Linked DNA regions of Sus scrofa. The protein of the gene in region 3 purifies or fractionates together with the protein of the main gene of each other region. This does not show direct contact. Links are inferred from orthologs where the notes say so. Each region holds a gene or a part of one and is shown on either strand. Other genes may lie near its edges.

Region 1 (5,978 bases), on a different chromosome or scaffold from region 3:
CAGGCCTTACATGCCCCCACCAAGCTCCTGCCCAGCAAGTGATGCCCTCGAAAGTCTCCATGGACAGTGAGCTGCGCCAAAGACTACCTCCCCAGGCTTCCGTGCCCAGGCCACCCACCTCCTCCTCCTTGCTCAGACTGTCCGGCTGGGCCAGCCGGAAGAGGCAGTCGTAGACCGGGTTCACCAGGGCCATCATGGGCATGTTGTTCACCTGCGGGGGAGAGTGAGCGCCACAGCACTGGCTTGGTGGCACAGGAGACAGGCCATCTCTGTTGCACGGGATGTGGCTGGTGGGGGTGGGGGGGCCCTCACCCTCAGGTAGTCAAAGATGTTGCAGATAAAGGTGACGTAGCAGACCCAGCCTTGCAGGGATCGTGCTCGAAGCTGCTCCCGAGCCTGGTACTCCTGCTGCAGCCGGTTGAGGAGTCCGCGGCGGAAGACACTCTGGCCAGCTTGCTTGCTCTCCGCCTGTGAGTGGGAGAAAGGCTGGTGAAGGGGCGTGACAGTGCTGTCACAATTCCACCCAAGCTTCTAAAGCTGAGGCCCCTGCTGTCCTCTTGTGCCTCTGAGGCCAGCCCTGTGCATCGCTGCCTGGCTAGCCAGGCCTCTGCCCACCTCTGAAGCACCTTCCTCCAAGCGTCTCCCCTCTGCTGTACCAACCCCACCCAACCTGAATGATGGCGTAGCACATGCGTCCTGCTTCCTTGCTGAACACACAGTCCTGCAGAGAATGGTCCACAATCACATTGGCCACCTTCTCCAAGTCCACGGCACCTGGATCTAGGGTAAAGACAGGTGGGGAATCTCGGGGTGCTTAATTATCACATTTGCCTCCACCTGCTTCTAAAGGCTCGTGATGTTCGCAGAAGAGCGAGCACTCCCGTGACGCCCTTCCATTTAAAGAGACCAGAGAACAGAAAGGAAACCGCACGCAGGAGCAGCTCTGGCCATGAGCCTCCTAGGGTGGCCCAATCAGCGGAAACAGGGAGGGTTACGCAGCTGTTAGGGAATGGAAGATGCTGGGTTTTTAGGACACATCTTTTCCTGGCACAAGGGTGAGGACGGAACCCTGAATAACAATGTCTTTGACAGCCGTCCACCAAAGGAAGTGTTCTCACAATGCACACATGAGCCCCCGACAAGAGCGGGCCAGGCGGGGCCTCCCCAGAGGCTTAGCTTGGCATGTGATAGGCATCGCTAATCGTTAGCTGAGGCAAACTTCTGTCCTGAGTGCTGCAGAAGGCACGGGTCCAGGACCACTACTTTCCTCCTCTGCCAAGCAGAACACTCCATCCTCTGTCCCAGGTCAGGCGGTGCTGCACACGGAAGAGAGCTGCTTGCAGCAACACAGAAACCAGGTCCTGTGTAAGGGCTTGAAGGGCAGGAACTGCGTCCTCTGTGCCTCGCCCTCCTGTCCTGCGTACGTAACCTTTTAAAAAAACGCTTTATGGAGTTCCCGTCGTGGCGCAGTGGTTAACGAATCCAACTAGGAACCATAAGGTTGCGGGTTCAGTCCCTGGCCTTGCTTAGTGAGTTAAAGGATCCGGCGTTGCCGTGCGCTGTGGTGTAGGTCGCAGACACGTCTCGGATCCCACGTTGCTGTGGCTCTGGTGTAGGCTGGTGGCTACAGCTCCGATTAGACCCCTAGCCTGGGAAACTCCATATGCCACAGGAGCGGCCCAAGAAATGGCAAAAAAAGACAAAAAAAAAAAAAAAAAAAAAAGCTTTATGATTGGAAGGGTGACTCTATGATTCATACTCCCAAATACTGGCCTACATGGGCTTGTCTTCCAGTTCCAGAATTATGTTGCTGACTCCCATTCTCAGAAACTGAAGGGAGAGGCCTGGGCGTTACGGCTCAGTCCTCCGGTCCTGTCCCCCTGGGCCCTTCTGTGTAGCTCTGGACCCAGGCTCGGGAGGCTCCCCGCGCTCACCTTTGAGTGCTGTCTTCAGCAGCTGCTGGCTCTCTGCATCAAAAGACTGGATTCTGTACTCCTCTCTACCAGGCTCCCCCATGACCATCCAGCCTCAGGTGCTCTTTACTGGGGTGGGATGAGTGACAGCACCTGGGGAGGAGCAGCGAAGGGAGAGGCCTTGGGTGTGGAGCGTGGCGCCAGGGTTCCCAGCCCTATGTGCCCTGGGCAGAACTGGCCAGTGCTTGGGACAGGTGCTCCTGGGCAGTCTTTGGCATTCAGGGCTTGGTTAGGTGCCCACAAAGCTTGGCTTCTGGTGGTGAGGCTGGCCAGGCACCTGCTGCTCAGTTAAAGAAGCCCTGCAGCTTCTGGGATTACACAAGAGGAAAGAGACCTCTACTCTCCAGCCCCAGCAGGAGGCAGGATTATTCTCAGCTGACACCAAGGCTGGGGTGAGGTGGGGTGTGATGGGCTGGGGGGATGAAGAGGTCGATAATTGGACACTTTTCCTGCCTATATACGCCGGTCTGGAAGCTGCTGGTCCAGCATGATTCTCAGCGAGTGAGATGGCTACAGGCTCCACGCTGTGGACAGCTCTGTCCCTGCAAAGTTCCAAGCCCCTCTCCCCAACTCAACCTTAGTCAAAGTCCTCGGTCCAGAGAGCCCACCCCTCCAACCCACGGGATAAGGCTGGCCAGAGGGCTGGGCGCAGAAGCGTCTCTGCCGCCCTGACGCCCCCTTTCCTGGCCAGCTTCTCCCCAGGATGGACTGGTTAAACTGGCCTCCTGAGTGGTAGAGACTCAGCCTGGCCCACCCAGGATTCCCAGTTCCTCAGTTCCATTCTAGATCCTTTCTCTTAAGGAGGGGAGCGGGATTACGTATCTTCCAGGAGTGGTCCCCCCTTTCCGGACTCGGAGATAGCCTTAGGGTTCTCCAGACCTGGGCAGCTTCCCTAAGCTCGGAACGCCCTTCCCGGCGGCTCAGCGCAGCCCACCGTCCGGTGTCCCGTGGGGTGGAGAGATGGTGGGAGCGCCAGGACCCACCTGCCACGCCGGCGCCGCGCCCGCGTGCCCAGAGGCCGTCCGGCTGGCATGGTGCGCGCGGCCCGCGCCCGCGGCGCTGCTGGCGAGGCCGGCCGCGCCTTGCTGCCGCTTAGGTCACTTCCTAGTGCAGGGGGCGGGGCGGGGCCCAGGGCAGGGGGGCGGGGCCTGGCCCGGCCGCCTCGCCGACGCCACCTGCCGGAGCCCCGACGACGCTGCCCCCGCCGCGCCACCGGGCACGCCCGGAAGTTCGGAGCTTGGAGCCAGGCAGGACGCCGGTGACCCTGCTCCCACCGCCGCTATCCTCTCCTCACCTGGTTCTCCCACGGCCTGTCCGGGACCACAACGGCTGCTCGGCGTTGGGCCCGATGTGCTCCGCGGCCGGCATGAAGCCCTCGGTCTTGAGCGCTGGCACCCCCCCCTTCGCCCCGCCCCCACACCAGGGCTCAGGTTAAAACGGGGTCAGGAGACTCGCCTGGCCGCGCGGTGTGGGAGGAGCCTGCGGGGGGCGTGGCCTTCAGCCCGGGGGGTGGGAGGGCCGAGAGGATGGCTGGAGGGGCAGGACTTCGCAGGTGGTGGCACTTTTACCCCCACCCCACCTCTCAAGGTGAGAGCGGGAAGGTGGTAAGGGCCGGATCGAGTCCCATTAAGCCCCTCTCCTACTCCAAATACACACGCTATTTAATGGTAAAACTAGTTGAAAATCAATGGGCTAACCCAAGAGAAAGGGTCCCAGGTGCCAGCTTGCAGAGGGGAGGTGTTAGGAGTGACCCTGAGGTTGCGCAAGCCCCCTGGCTCAGTCTGTCTTGGTTGGGGCTGGGGGGAGGCACGGGGCGCAGCAGTCCAGACAGGGCCACCCCTGAGGTCAGCCCTGGGTTGCAGGAGGGCACACAGAAGAGGCTGGCAAAGAACTGCCTTGTCCCATCGATTAGACAAGAAGTGTCCATGGCGGTTTTCTGTATCCAAAGCTCTCTCCTGTCAAGCTGGTCAGCAGAAAATGAACAAGGAAGACAGTCTCAGCAGAATCTCAGAATCAAGTTCACTTCAATGGAATTTCATAAAAAATACATTCAGGCAGCTGCCTCCCTGTAGCCCCAAGCCTTGACTGCCAAACCCCTGTGGGTGTGGGGGCCCCCCAGCCACAGCTGCCAAGAGCAGGACAGCTTCAGGATTCTGGGTCCCAGACACATCACAAAACCCCAGACCAGAGATGAAGCAGTAACGGCGTGCAGGAGCCCAGGATCCAGAGGGACTGAGAGCCGTGACAGCCCCCAAGACCACATGCTAGGAAGAAGGCTGGAGCTAGAGCCGAGGTGAGGCCAGCGTGGGGCTCCCTCTGCAGGGCCAACCCCTCAGGCCGAGCTCCCCTGGGGGCCTGGGCGTGAGGAGACCTGGGGGGGAGGTGGTGGTTATGTTCTGTAGATTTTCTTCACCTCTCAAACCCCTGTGCCCTGAAGACTCCAGGGCACCAGCTGTGCTCGCACCAGGCTGCCTGTTCAACCCCTTCCTTCTGGGATTACAGAGGACGCACACAACGCCTTGCTGGACCCAGGAGGAGCAGCCTGAGCAGGCAGCGGCTGCCCAGTGGCTCAGCTGTAGGCTCCCACCCACCCAGGAGAGCTGACCCAGCCCCCCAGTGAAAGAGGGGTGATCCCCGGTAGACCAGGGAAAAGGGGTGCTGCCTTTACCCACACCCCCTCCCCGTAGCACATCCCCCCAGTCTGCAGGGCTGCTTAGTATCTGCTTTCCCTCAAGGCCCACAGGCTGGGGCCAGGCCTGCCCAGAGAGAGAAGTGAGTGATGATGAGCTTTTTTTTAGGGCCACTCCCACAGCATCCACAGCATATTGAAGTTCCCAGGCTGGGGGTCTAATGGGAGCTGTAGCCGCCAGCCTACACCACAGCCACAGCAACGCCAGATCCTGGCCACATCTGTGACCTACACCACAGCTCATGGCAATGCCAGATCCTTAACCCGCTGAGCGAGGTTAGGGATCGAACCCACATCCTCACGGATACTAGTTGGGTTCTTAACCTGCTGAGCCACAACAGGAAGGCCCAATGATGCCTTCTAGACATGAAGATTTGAGCCTGGCTGGGTTTATAAAAGGAGCAACGCAGCTGGGATTCTTCACCCAGGAGCAAAAGCAAAGCTGCCTGGGGGATGCAAATGCTGAGAAAAATAGAATTCAGGAAAGTAGGAAAAAAAAATAAGAGAAGAAAATAACAAAAAAATGAATAAATAAAAGTAAAATTAGAAAAGGAAAAAAAAATTACAAGTGGCGAGCAGGGCTCCCTTCCCTCCTCCTTTGTGAAGGATGTGATGGATGGGGCGATGGAGAGAAGATACGGAGCCTGCTTCCAGCCTTGATGTCTATTAAGTGAGTCGGTGGGAGAGAGAAGTCAAGTGTGGGGACCAGACCCTGGAAAGGGCTGGATCCCTGCCTCACACGGGGGCTGCGGCTCCGCCCAGAGCCGGGAGAGTTCTCCGGGCAGACGAGGTAAGACATGCAGGAGGGCAGCTGTTGCCCTTAGAGTCTGTGCCAGGTGGCAGCTTCCAGCTTCTGACGGGCAGGGTCAGGTTCCCGCAGACCAAGGAAAATGCTGTCGCGTGGAGAAACGCCTCTGCCCTCCTGGTGGCGTCCGAGCTGGTGGAGTTACGGCTCCTGCCCAGCTCTTCGTGGTCAGGACAGCTGGCCTGGAGCAGGGTCCAGGCAGCACCTGATCGCAGCACAACCCGAGACTGTGGATCGAGTCTTCTCTCAGGAGGGCGTCTCCGGGCAAGGGGCCAGGCCACCCTTCCTGCTGTCCAGGCTAGCTGTCCGCCTTCCTCAGGCGGTGGAAGAGGTTACAGACGAGCTCATACCAGAAGAACACGAAGCCCGTGGAGAGGGCGGCCTTCAGCAGGCTGGGGGACAGGCCTTTGAAGAAGCCCTGGGCGCCCTCCTCTCGCAGCACCTGCCTGGCGCAGTCCAGGAGGCCCTTGTAGCTTCGAACCTGGGGAGAGAAAGCGATGGAGACACGGAC
Region 2 (5,853 bases), on a different chromosome or scaffold from region 3:
CTTGAACCACCAGCTCTGCGGGCCTAACTGCAGGAGAAAAAAAAAAAAAAAAAAAAAAAAAATTTCGGAGATCATCATCCTGGCCCAGAAAGAGACTCTGGAACAGGAAAAGGAATCAGCCAACACAGAGTGTTGCTGTGTGACTGAGCGAGTTTAACTGCATTATCACCTTTGCTTCACACATGGTCAAGAAAGATTGTTGAATAAGCTGTCCAAGGTCACCCATTTGGAGGTTAAGTAAACTGCTCAAGGTCACAGATCCAGGGATGGTCATGCTTGAGATTCAAGCTGAAGGGTCAGGCTGACTCTTGAGTCTCTGCTGTCCCCCCTGGTCCCCTCACTGCAGGCACAGCCCCCAAACAGAGGCGTGCACTCTCCAGGGATGTTTTGCATGCTGCACATTGCTCAGCCTTTCCTCACCTCTGGGAGTGGATCCTGTTGTCACCTCTGGGGTGTGATTTAAAGCAAAGGCAAAACCAAGACCCAGACAATTCCATTCTTGTTTCTTTACAGGCAGCATGCCTATCACCCAATGTGCAAAACAGCATTGACGACAAAAAGTAGGTAAATGGGAATCTGTTGAGTGGCTAGATTCCAGTACTGTTGCTTTATATTTTGTAAACCTAGGAAATCATTCAGATGTCAAAGCACAAAAATAACTGTGGAGCCTATGAGGCATAAATGCTAAGAGGGAGGGACCCACCAGCGGAAAGAGTCAGGTGTGCTTAAGTGTGTTCCTTTGGCCTGGGGACTGGGACTGGCACCCAGACAACTAGCTTCTGGTACCCACTCTGCCTATCACAAATGTGCAACTCCGTGCCTGCTGCCTTCCTCTAGAAGGGAGAAGATGACCTCCCTCCATGCCCTTTGATGCAAGAGTCAAATGAGCTGCTCTACTGGATGTGACTGGATGTTGCTTTGCTTGCCTTTGATGGCTTGGTGCATTCTGAGCCTGGAGCCAAGAACACATGCTCTCCACTCTCAAAGAAATCCCACCATTTCTTCAAAGGCCCACGGCAAACCCCATCTCTGGCAAAAAGCCATCCTAGGCTCCTTTTGCCCTCTAGACCCACCCTTCATCCCTGAGCCTCCTTTTGGGGTCCCTGCCCTCTTCTGCCCTGCCAAACTGCTGGGACTTGCATAATTTGCTCTCTTATCTCTCATACGGAGACTTTATACCCTGTAGCCTTAGTCAGAGGCCTACCGCATCCTTTGCCTTGTTAAAAATTTTAGTATTTTTAGCTACAGTACTACTTACTTCTTCCAGGAAGACTTCCTTGACCCTCTCCCACCTGCAGCCACCCTCCATCCTGAGAGATACCTGGCACTTTATGCTTATTCTCATGTTAAGTGTTGACTTACTCTACTTTCCTTGTCTGTGGTCCTTAACCAGATGTTGAGCTCCTTAAGGGCAGGAATCGAGGCTCTGTCTTGGCAGTCCCAGAACTATCCCATCTGTGAAAAATACCCACCAAATGTTACATGACGTAGTACATGATTTTCTTTGATTATATTGTCACACAGTTCCTCCCCCGAGTTTATAATCCCCTTGCCTGGAGGGTGTGCAGCATCATATGTTTCTCTAGAAGGCTCAGTGCCTAGCACCTAGTAGGTACTTGGAAAACACTGGTGATTTGGTTAAGTGATTACTGAATTATCCATTGCATTGAATTCTCCCTGCTTTAGCCCTTGCCATGGCCAATGGAAAATTAATTGGTTGCAAAGTGCATATCTAATTACAACATCCCACCCCTGCCACTGAGATGTTCAAATGTTAATTATAACATATGCATCTCAATAACAGACGTTAGCATTTAATACAGCGTTAATAACTACACTTGGGCAGCCCAATGCGTACACAAAGCTCCCTTTTATCTGCCATTAGTACGGACTTAGCACTTAAAGTAAGGAAGTCCACATCCTTAAAACTGGTCTGGTCCCTAAAACCCAATGTTATCCTGCAAGCCTGGACCGCGCCTAAGCCCCCAGTTCTCCCCACGCAGAGGTTCCCATCCAAGGCCGTGCCAAGGTCGTGAGGGGAGCCGGGTTTGGTCGGCCGGTTTTGGGGTGGCTAGACTGGGCTATCTAGGCTGCTCAGGCGGCATCCCCGGCTTCCCCGCGGCGTCCCGCTCTCCAGGGCCCGCCATCCCGGGAAAGAAAGGAGAACTACATTACCCAGCAGGCCTCCCGCCGCCCTCTTTCCTTTCGAGTCTTTGCACGTGGCCGGAGGGGAGGGCGGGGACTGGACGTCACTCTTCAACATTCTCTTTCCCTGTGTCAGAGCAGGGATCATTTTTTTTCCTTCCTTTACTCCCTCCCCCCTACCCGCCCCTCCCTCCCTCTTTCCCTTCCCTCCCTCCCTCCCCTCTCTGCTGGGTTGGTGCGCTGGGGCGCCGGAGCCCCTCCGCTGCCCGGACGCACGGAACTCGAGGCAGGAGTAGGCTCTCCCGAGCCTGCTCCCTCCCTTCTCCTTCCCTGCCCCCTTCCCCCACCCCCCGGCTCGGGCTCGGAGCGGCGGCCAGAGGAACCCCGAGGTGAGCATCCCCCTGCCCGCCCCCCTCTTTTAGTCATCTCCGCTTGCGGGTCGATTCGGGGACCCGAGAGGACGGCTGCGTGACGTGCGCGTGCTTATAGATAAATCCGGGAAAACCGCCCCAAACAATTCGCCCCCTTCCCCCCTCCCTGAGTCCGGGGCGGCCAGGCGTCCGCGCCCATCCGTGGTCCCCGCCTCTGTAGAGGACCGCACTACGCGGTCTCGCCCCCTCCTCAGGTTTGCTGCTTCTCCGCAGGGTTCCCCGCCGGTAGGGGAGCCGAAGCCCTGGAGCTCCTGTGAGGAGGGGGGTTCTTGGCGGGGGGGCGCTCGGCTGGAGCTCGGCTCGCGTTGGAGCCGCGCGTTGTAGCCGCTGTCATGTGCCGGATTCCGACCCGTGGGGGGGGGAGGAAGAGAGCGAGCGTGATTCCTCTCCCTTTTGTTTTGAAGCCCGCATTTGCTGCATCAAGCAGTTGGTTTAGTAGCGGCCAAACTTGCAGCTGTTTTGACCGCGCTCCGCTGAGGTAGGGAGCGCAGCTCCGGGTGGCGGCTCCCGGCCGGAGGCTGCTGCGCTCGCGGCTCCCGGAGGGACCCGGAGAGAATGTCTCCTCGCTGCCCCTCCCTCCTTCGGTGACTGATTGTGTCAGTGGCAGCGGCCGCGTGTGAATGTGTGTGCGCGCCCGTCCCCGCGGGCGCGGGGATGTCTGTCGTCTAGACAGGCTGCTCCCTCCCTCCGTCCCTGGTGAGCCCGCGGGCCGCGGGGGGCGTGGGGGATGGGAGCAGAGGAGGAAACTGGATCGGTGGATCCATTGCAGTCGCAGCTTTGGACATTCCCCGCAGCGGTGATTGTGTTGGCTTATTTATTATTATTCTTGTCGCCGCTGTGTATCTGGGCCTAGGGAATAGATCCATCGGCGGAGCAGGGGTTAAGTTGACAGGCTCTGAAAAACCAGCTCGCGGTGGAGCTGGTGACCCAAGCCGGAGCGGAGTGGGCTCCAGCTCGGGTTCTTCAGCGAGCAGGTGACTGTCCTGAACACCGGCTTGGGGCGGGGGGGGAGGGTGCGGTGGCTGGTCTGCTGCTGCGGTCTGGTGCTCCTTAGGGCCGCGTACCCGAGCCTGGGGGCACCTGGGGGAGGCGTCCCGGGAACCGCGCATCTGAGTTGGGTACGTCTCTCCATTGACATTAAATGACACTCCGGGGTCTGAGCCCCTCATCTGGGCGGTGTTGGCTCTTCGGTTTCGTGGAGTTTTCAGGGTTGGGGTCGGGGGACAGATGTGAGCAGAGAGGGAGGTGCGGCGTGTAAAGGGAGGGATGGTTGGCGGCGCGGTGTGCATCCCCATCCCGGAGAGTGAGGCGTCGCCTCCCCCGCCCAGCTGTTTGTGTGTGTACACACCGCTCCGGCTTGGGGCGGGGGCGGGGACTGCAGAGAGCGGCGTAGTGGGGACGCGAGTGGGCCCCGATACCCCACGGGGATCGGTCCCGCCAGGGCTCGTCGTCTTGTGTCTGTTCGCGCTCGCGCCGGGGGTTACTTGGAGAGGGGGGCGTGCGGCTGGGGGCCCGGGGAGACCCTGGAGTTGCGTGTACGCGGAGTCAGTGAGGGAGTCCCTGGCCAGAGAGGTGCGACGGTCTCTCCCTTCGCAGCCCGGAAGTCCCCCTGACCCGGCGAGCTGACTGCCTACTCCGAGTCGCTGGGGACTGGTCTGGTGGGGCCTGGAGGAGTCTCGGGCGTGCGCGTGTCGCACTCCCACCCCCTCTCGGTTGACCCTTGGCCGGAGGCGCTCTGTGGGTGCGCGTGCCCGCGCCTGCCGCTACCTTCGCAGCTGGAGAGAATCAACATGCTATGCCCCACCCCCCTCCCAATTTTTCGTGCTGGAGATAGTGCGGGCCAAAGGCTGCCTGGCCTGCGCGGCCCCGGGCCCAGCCCCGCGCTGCCTTCTGCGCCGCTGCGGGGTGTTCGGCCTTGTGCACGCCTTTGCGGGCTCCGTTCTCTCCGCGCTGGGTCTCTGCGGCCGGGTGATTATCTCCCAGGCTAGGGGCCCGCGAGCTAAGGGAGGAAGCTGCTGGAGCTGCGGGCTTCACCGCGGCTGAAGGCTCCCGAGGGCGAAAGTGACACAGCACGAGCGCCACTGCTGCGGATCTGGAGGGGAGAGGAAGGAGCCGCCCAGAGGGCGGGGAGGGGCTGCAGGCTGTCCAGCCCGGTTCCTCCTGTCCACGCGGGGCCTGGGCAAAAACCTCAGGGATCCCTGCTACGAGCATGCTCGCATCGTGCGAGAAAATTGGCTTTCAGGAAACCCAATTATACTGGAACAGAACGCACCGAGCAGAGGTTATAAAATGTTCAGCCCTTCACAGAAGGCATTAAGGTTGCCTGAGGAAGCTCCCTTTGAATGTTTGAGACAGGATTCGATTTGCACACAGATCATCTCATCTTTGTCAAGTATCTGTCCTGGGTCATGTATACTTGGAGGCAGTAATTTTGTAAAGCATTTTGGGTACAGTGTCATCAGTGATTAACACATTGCTAGGATAATAATATGTTTGTGTGACTTTACAGGGCGCCCCCCCATCATATTTATTAAGAGGGCCCCATGAGGTGGAGGGGTATTAACCCCCCCCTTTACAGAATAGAACACTGAGGCTCAAAAAATGATGCAACTTGCCCTAAGCCTTTCTGTAATTTTTTTTTTTGGTCTTTTTTTTTTTGCTATTTCTTTGGGCCGCTCCCGCAGCATATGGAGGTTCCCAGGCTAGGGGTTGAATCGGAGCTGTAGCCATTGGCCTACGCCAGAGCCACAGCAACGCGGGATCCGAGCCGTGTCTGCAACCTACACCACAGCTCACAGCAACGCCGGATCGTTAACCCACTGAGCAAGGGCAGGGATCGAACCCGCAACCTCATGGTTCCTAGTCGGATTTGTTAACCACTGCGCCACGACGGGAACTCTCCTTTCTGTAATTTCACATATCAGCCTATGGCTTTTAATCTAAATAGTGGCCACCTTTTTTTGCTTTCTTTTCTTTTTCAGAGTAGGTCTTGATACCTGTGGAAGTACTGAACCTGAGAAGGGGGGTGAATTATGGTATTTATTTTTTGTCAGAAACACTTTTGATTTGCTACATGTCCTAACAAGAATAGGTCATTAAAGAACAGAAGTCTGCATTGCTGTTATTATCACTCATCTGATAATTTGCTTTTGGTGAATGATCGAATTATCGGCTTTGGAACACCCCGTATTTACAAAATTATACCTGTATATAATAAATACATCTGGATACATGTTTCTCCCACACATGTGGGTGTGTTCATGGGGTCCTTATTGAA
Region 3 (5,326 bases):
GAGAAAGGGGTACGGCGCCCCTTCTTCACGAGCATCCGCGTCGACATCGGTGGCAGCCTGTCTCCCAAGAAGCACCCAGTCCACCACGAGCCGGAAACGCCCGCGCAGAGCGCCTCGGGGGGCTCACCAGGTTATCCTGCGAGCTCGCCTGGGACTCGGAGCTGCTTCCCGCCGAGTCCGTCTCCATCTCCCCGAGGTCCACGGGATGTCTGCGCAGAGAAAGCAGGCACGTCAGCAGAGCCAGGCAGGCCCACCCTCCGCAAACCAGCGCACCAAAGCCTCGCTGCCCGACACCCCCCGCCAAGCACCTCCTAGCTCCCCGAGGGACCACAGGCCCCAGCGACACCCACGTCCAGACTCAGCCCTGCCCGGGCCACCCAGAGGAGAGGCAAGGCGGCAGCAGTTACTGCAGGCAGGAGGCCCAGAGCAGACAGCAACCTGCCCGTCCTCGACGGCAGCGGCGACCCACAGGCGCCCACGAGCATCCTTGGGAGCGGAAGCATAAACAGTAAGTGTGGGGGGAGAAGAACACTGAGAAACCACACCACACACAGTCGCTGATGCTTCCAACTCCCTCCGCATGAGGAGACGGGAAGAGGGACAAGCTGGACAAGAGCGAGTGACGCTGGCGAGCCCAAGTCTGAGAACAGGTTGGACGCTGTTTCAACATGACAGTTGCTGGAGTTCCCGTCGTGGCTCAGTGGTTAATGAATCCGACTAGGAACCAGGAGGTTGTGGGTTCAATCCCTGGCCTCACTCAGAGGGTTAGAGATCCGACGTTACTGTGAGCTGTGGTGTATGTAGGTCACAGACGCGGCTCAGATCCCGCATTGCTGTGGCTGTGGTGCAGGCCGGCGGCTACAGCTCCAATTCGACCCCTAGCCTGGAACCTCCATGTGCGGTGGGTGTGGCCCTAAAGACCAAAAAAAAAAAAAAAAAAAAAAAAGTTTCCCAGTAAATTTCCCTGGCACAGAGCAAAACTCACACATTCACGAGAATAAACGTGTCTGTGAGGGAGAGAGAGGTTTGGGTCAGAAGGGAGCTGGGGGTGTAAGCCGGCAGCCACAGCTCCCACTGTGACACAGCAGGTTAACGATCCCGCCTTGTCTCTGTGGCGGTGCAGGTTCAACCCCCAGCCCAGTACGGTGGGTTAAGGACCCAGCGCTGCTGCGGCTGTGGCCAGGTGGAGTTCAGATTCAATCCCTGACTCAGGTCCCCCCATAGGCCACAGGCGCAGCCAAAAGGGAGTTGAGAAGAGAGGCTGCAGAGCCCAGGCTCTCTCTGCCTCTGTGTCCACCCAGCACCCTGACCACGTGGCAGAAACAAGCCTGAGATCTTCCCAACTAGATGCAGCTTAAAGAGATAAAAGCTGGGAGTTCCCATTTTGGCTTAACAGTCATAGCCCAACTAGTATTCATGAGACGCAGGTTCAATCCCTGGCCCTGCTCAGTGGGTTAAGGATCCGGTATTGCTGTGAACTGTGGTGTAGATGGCAGATGTGGCTTGGATCCCATGTGGCTGTGGCTGTGGCTGTGGCGTAGGCCCAGCTCCGATTCGACCTCTAGGCTGGGAACTTCCATGTGCTGTGGTGCAGCCCTCAAAAGACAAAAAAAAAGTTTATCTTAGGAACAAACAGAACCCCCACATATCTCTAGGTTTATTGCAATCAATTTCCCCAGCTGCAAAGTGAATTCAACCCAGGAAGCACCCTCCTCCCCCGAGCCCGCCCAGAGCCCAGGCTTCACACACTTGTGCAGAGAAAAGGGACATGAAACTGTGACCACTGGCTGCTCTGCTCCCCCAGAACATCCAGGTGGACACTGTGCCAGGACAACCCGCCACGACCAAGTGACAAGGCCTCTGCAGTCACTGCAGGAGCTGCAGGAGCGGGAGGAGAATGCAGTACAGACATACATTTCTTCCAAGTCACACCCTTCGGCAGCTGGAGGGTCCCAGAAATGCAGCGCCACCTTCCACAGTTTGATCTGCTGGTCCCACGATCGTCGACTGTACTTCTTGAACTTGTTGGGAGTCCTGGGATGAACGCCAGGTTGTCGGAGGTGCCTGACAGGAGAGAGAAACGGTCCTGGCACACACCTCTCACTTCTGCACACTGGCTTCCAGAGGAACAAACTCCGAGATGAGTCTCATTAAAAACCACAGACCAGTGAGATTCCACACAACGAACAAAGGAACCGATAACCAGCACTACGTCCTTGGCGACGCGATTTCTTTGCAATCTAGGCTGCAGAAAAGTACATCTGACCTGCAGTTCTGCCAGAAGCAGACACACTCTCTAAAGCTCCGTCCTTGTGGGGCGGGAGGGTGCCACTTACGCAAACTGGGACAATGCTCGTGGTTTTCTCTAGTGAGATATTTACCATCTGTAATTTGAACTTCACTTTTTCCATCACGTATTTTCATAATTTTACATTTATAAGAAAGCTGCATGGAGTTCCCGTCGTGGCGCAGTGGTTAACGAATCCCCCTGAGGTTGCGGGTTCAGACCCCTGCCCTTGCTCAGTGGGTTAAGGATCCAGCGTTGCCATGAGCTGTGATGTAGGTCGCAGACGCAGCTCGGATTCCGAGTTGCTGTGGCTCTGGTGTAGGCTGGAGACTACAGCTCCGATTCGACTCCTAGCCTGGGAACCTTCATGTGCTGTGGGAAGCGGCCCTGGAAAAGGCAAAAAGACAAAAAAAAAAAAGAAAGAAAGGAAAGCTGCGGAGCTCCCACTGTAGCGCAATAGGATCTGCGGCCTCTTGGGACCACCGCAACACGGGTTCGACTCTGGGCCCAGCACAGTGGGTTAAGGATCCAATGTTGCTGCAGCTGCAGCTTAGGTCTCAATTGTGGTTCAGATCTGATCCCTGGCCCGGGAGCTCCATATGCCGTGGGTGGCCAAAAATGAAAAGAACAAAAAAACTGGGAGTTCGCGTCACAGCTCAGCGCCAACAAACTCGACCAGTACCCATGAAGACTTGGGTTGCATCTCTGGCCCTGCTCAGTGGGTTAAGGATCTGGCGTTGCCGTGAGCTGTGGTCTAGGTCGCAGAAGCAGCTTGGATTCCGCGTGGCTGTGGCTGTGGTGTACGCTGGCAGCTGCAGCTCCAGTTGACTCCTAGCTTGGGAAATTCCATATGCCTCGGTGCAGCCCTAAAAAGCAAAAAAAAAAAAAAAAAAAAAAAAAAAAGAGGTGTTCCCGTCATGGCGCAGTGGTTAACAAATCCGACGAGGAACCATGAGGTTGCGGGTTCGATCCCTGCCCTTGCTCAACGGGTTGAGGATCTGGTGTTGCCGTGAGCTGTGGTGTAGGTTGCAGACGCGACTCGGATCCTGCATTGCTGTGGCTGTGGTGTAGGCCGGTGGCTACAGCTCCGATTGGACCCCTAGCCTGGGAACCTCCACATGCCGCAGGAGTGGCCAAAGAAATAGCAAAAAGACAAAAAAAAATAAAAGAAAAAAGAAAAAAGGCAAAAAAAAAAATAAAAAACAAATTATAAGACAGCTGTGAGTCTTAAGAAATGAAATGTCACCTAACGTTGTAAACTACGAAAACATTCCATCTTTTGTCTTTGAGTTCTCAGTCTTTCAGCCGCCGGCCCACTCACCCCATTTACACAAGCGCCCGAAAGCCCTTAACAACACAGTTGTTAGCAGGTGTGAGCGACGTGCAGAATCAGACGGAGCACCCAGACGGCAAGGGCCCGTGGGAGCAGGCGGCGCCGCGCCGCGGGGCAGGACTACCTTGGGACTTCCTTGATGTAGCGGTCGTAGGCGATGGTGTTCTTCCCGTAGTTGATCTGCTTCTGTCTCCGCATCAGGACGCTCTCGTCAGTCTCCAGGTCAGCTGGCAGCGCAGACAGAGACTCCTTCGAGTCGGAACTAAGACAGTGAAATGAACAGAACGGGCCTGGCGGTGAGGACCAGTGTGGAAGGAAACGCCGAGACTCGACAACGGAGCATCTGCCCTGCGGGTCCCACACCCCATCAACCCGCCCAGGCCGCGGTCTTTGAACATGTGGGAGTTTGGTACACAAGAGCCCACATTCGAACAGCAGTGAAGAAGAGAAACACAGTAAGTGCACCGAGACACGCAGCTTCCCGCAGTCACAAGTTTTCTCATTAATAAATTACAGGCCTATTAAATTAGAAAAGAGGAGTTCCCGTCGTGGTGCCGTGGAAACGAATCCGACTAGGAACCATGAGGGTGCGGGTTCGGTCCCGGGCCCCGCTCGGTGGGTTAAGGATCCGGCGTTGCCGTGAGCTGTGGTTGGTGTGGGTCAGACGCGGCTCGGATCCCGAGTTGCTGTGGCTGTGCTGCAGGCCGGCGGCTACGGCTCCGATTCGACCCCGAGCCTGGGAGCCTCCAAGTGCTGCAGGAGCGGCCCTGGAAAGACAAAATAAGTAAATGAGGACAGGAGCGATTCCCAGCACTTACCTTCCTGATGAGGATTTCCTCTCTCTTCCAAAGTCATTGACGAGGAGTTTCCTCTTATACCTGAGAGCGAAGCACATGCTGTTGTTCTTAAAAAGGCACAGACGTTAACTTTCCGCAAGGCTTTCAGAGCTAAAACACACACAGGAACAAAGCCTCTGAGGGTGCGGTCTGCTCTCTCGAGCTCCGCCTCCAGCAGTCACCTTCTCTGACTAACAGACACAGGGCTGAAAATTACTCGTCAAGACCACAGAAAGTGCTTAAAGCAACAGGTTCCAGGCCTGCGTGTCCTCCAGCAGTTTCTGTTTAAGTAGTGAGATCCAAACACCAAGATATTTACACCCTCTAATCCCGGAGACTTTGGAAAAACCTAACAGGGAGTTGAAATCAGAAGTTTTCTTTACGATACCAAAAGTACTCAACCAGACGTGCGTGCCTCCAGGGCACTGCCCCCCTTCTCGGGAAGAGACTGAACGCCCCCCCTTCCTTGCCGACTTCACAAGGCATCTGCTTTCTATACAGGATCCACCAGCACCCAGCTTTGCAAAGGTGTGACACCAGAAAAGAAAGTGGAGTAAAAGCTGATGCTGAAGCTGAGCACCACCTCCGGCCAGAGGTTCACGCAGCTGACTGCGCCTCTTTCCAAAGCTAAAACCCTCCCGCCTCCCAAGTTCGCTGCGGCAGCCCAGCGAGTCTGGACGCCAGGGGACAAGGACCTCGTTTCCCTCCTGTGCGTCGGGACGGCAGTGATGACCCGCCACCCTAGGAGAAGCGAGAAACCAGTCCCTTCCACCCTCTTCGGGAGGGTTTCCTTCTTTGTGGAGGCCAAGGGGAAAAGACGGGCTTTGGGTATGACTCAAACCCATCCTCAGATTTTCAGACAGCTGGCAG

The links. Proteins that work in one complex are often made in the same cells at the same time.
Region 1: the proteins of SLBP (region 3) and MIF4GD purify together in Homo sapiens (affinity purification with western blotting; 3 studies listed by BioGRID and IntAct, with this or other methods). This does not show direct contact. The link is inferred for Sus scrofa from reciprocal best matches to the Homo sapiens genes SLBP and MIF4GD.
Region 2: the proteins of SLBP (region 3) and CTIF purify together in Homo sapiens (affinity purification with western blotting; 3 studies listed by BioGRID). This does not show direct contact. The link is inferred for Sus scrofa from reciprocal best matches to the Homo sapiens genes SLBP and CTIF.

Annotation. Positions count from the first base shown.
Region 1 is NC_010454.4:6,044,768-6,050,745, reverse strand, and holds the start of MIF4GD (MIF4G domain-containing protein), read right to left. Parts: upstream 3,452-5,978; 5' UTR 3,268-3,451; intron 3,080-3,267; exon of another isoform or gene 2,853-3,079; intron 2,067-2,852; 5' UTR 2,023-2,066; coding exon 1,935-2,022; intron 781-1,934; coding exon 671-780; intron 469-670; coding exon 313-468; intron 212-312; coding exon 119-211; intron 1-118. UniProt on the Homo sapiens protein: Functions in replication-dependent translation of histone mRNAs which differ from other eukaryotic mRNAs in that they do not end with a poly-A tail but a stem-loop. May participate in circularizing those mRNAs specifically enhancing their translation.
Region 2 is NC_010443.5:98,131,081-98,136,933, forward strand, and holds the start of CTIF (CBP80/20-dependent translation initiation factor), read left to right. Parts: upstream 1-2,402; 5' UTR 2,403-2,534; intron 2,535-3,225; exon of another isoform or gene 3,226-3,550; intron 3,551-5,853. UniProt on the Homo sapiens protein: Specifically required for the pioneer round of mRNA translation mediated by the cap-binding complex (CBC), that takes place during or right after mRNA export via the nuclear pore complex (NPC).
Region 3 is NC_010450.4:807,116-812,441, forward strand, and holds part of SLBP (histone RNA hairpin-binding protein), read right to left. Parts: intron 4,499-5,326; coding exon 4,439-4,498; intron 3,883-4,438; coding exon 3,745-3,882; intron 2,065-3,744; coding exon 1,915-2,064; exon of another isoform or gene 210-1,914; coding exon 128-209; intron 1-127. UniProt on the Homo sapiens protein: RNA-binding protein involved in the histone pre-mRNA processing.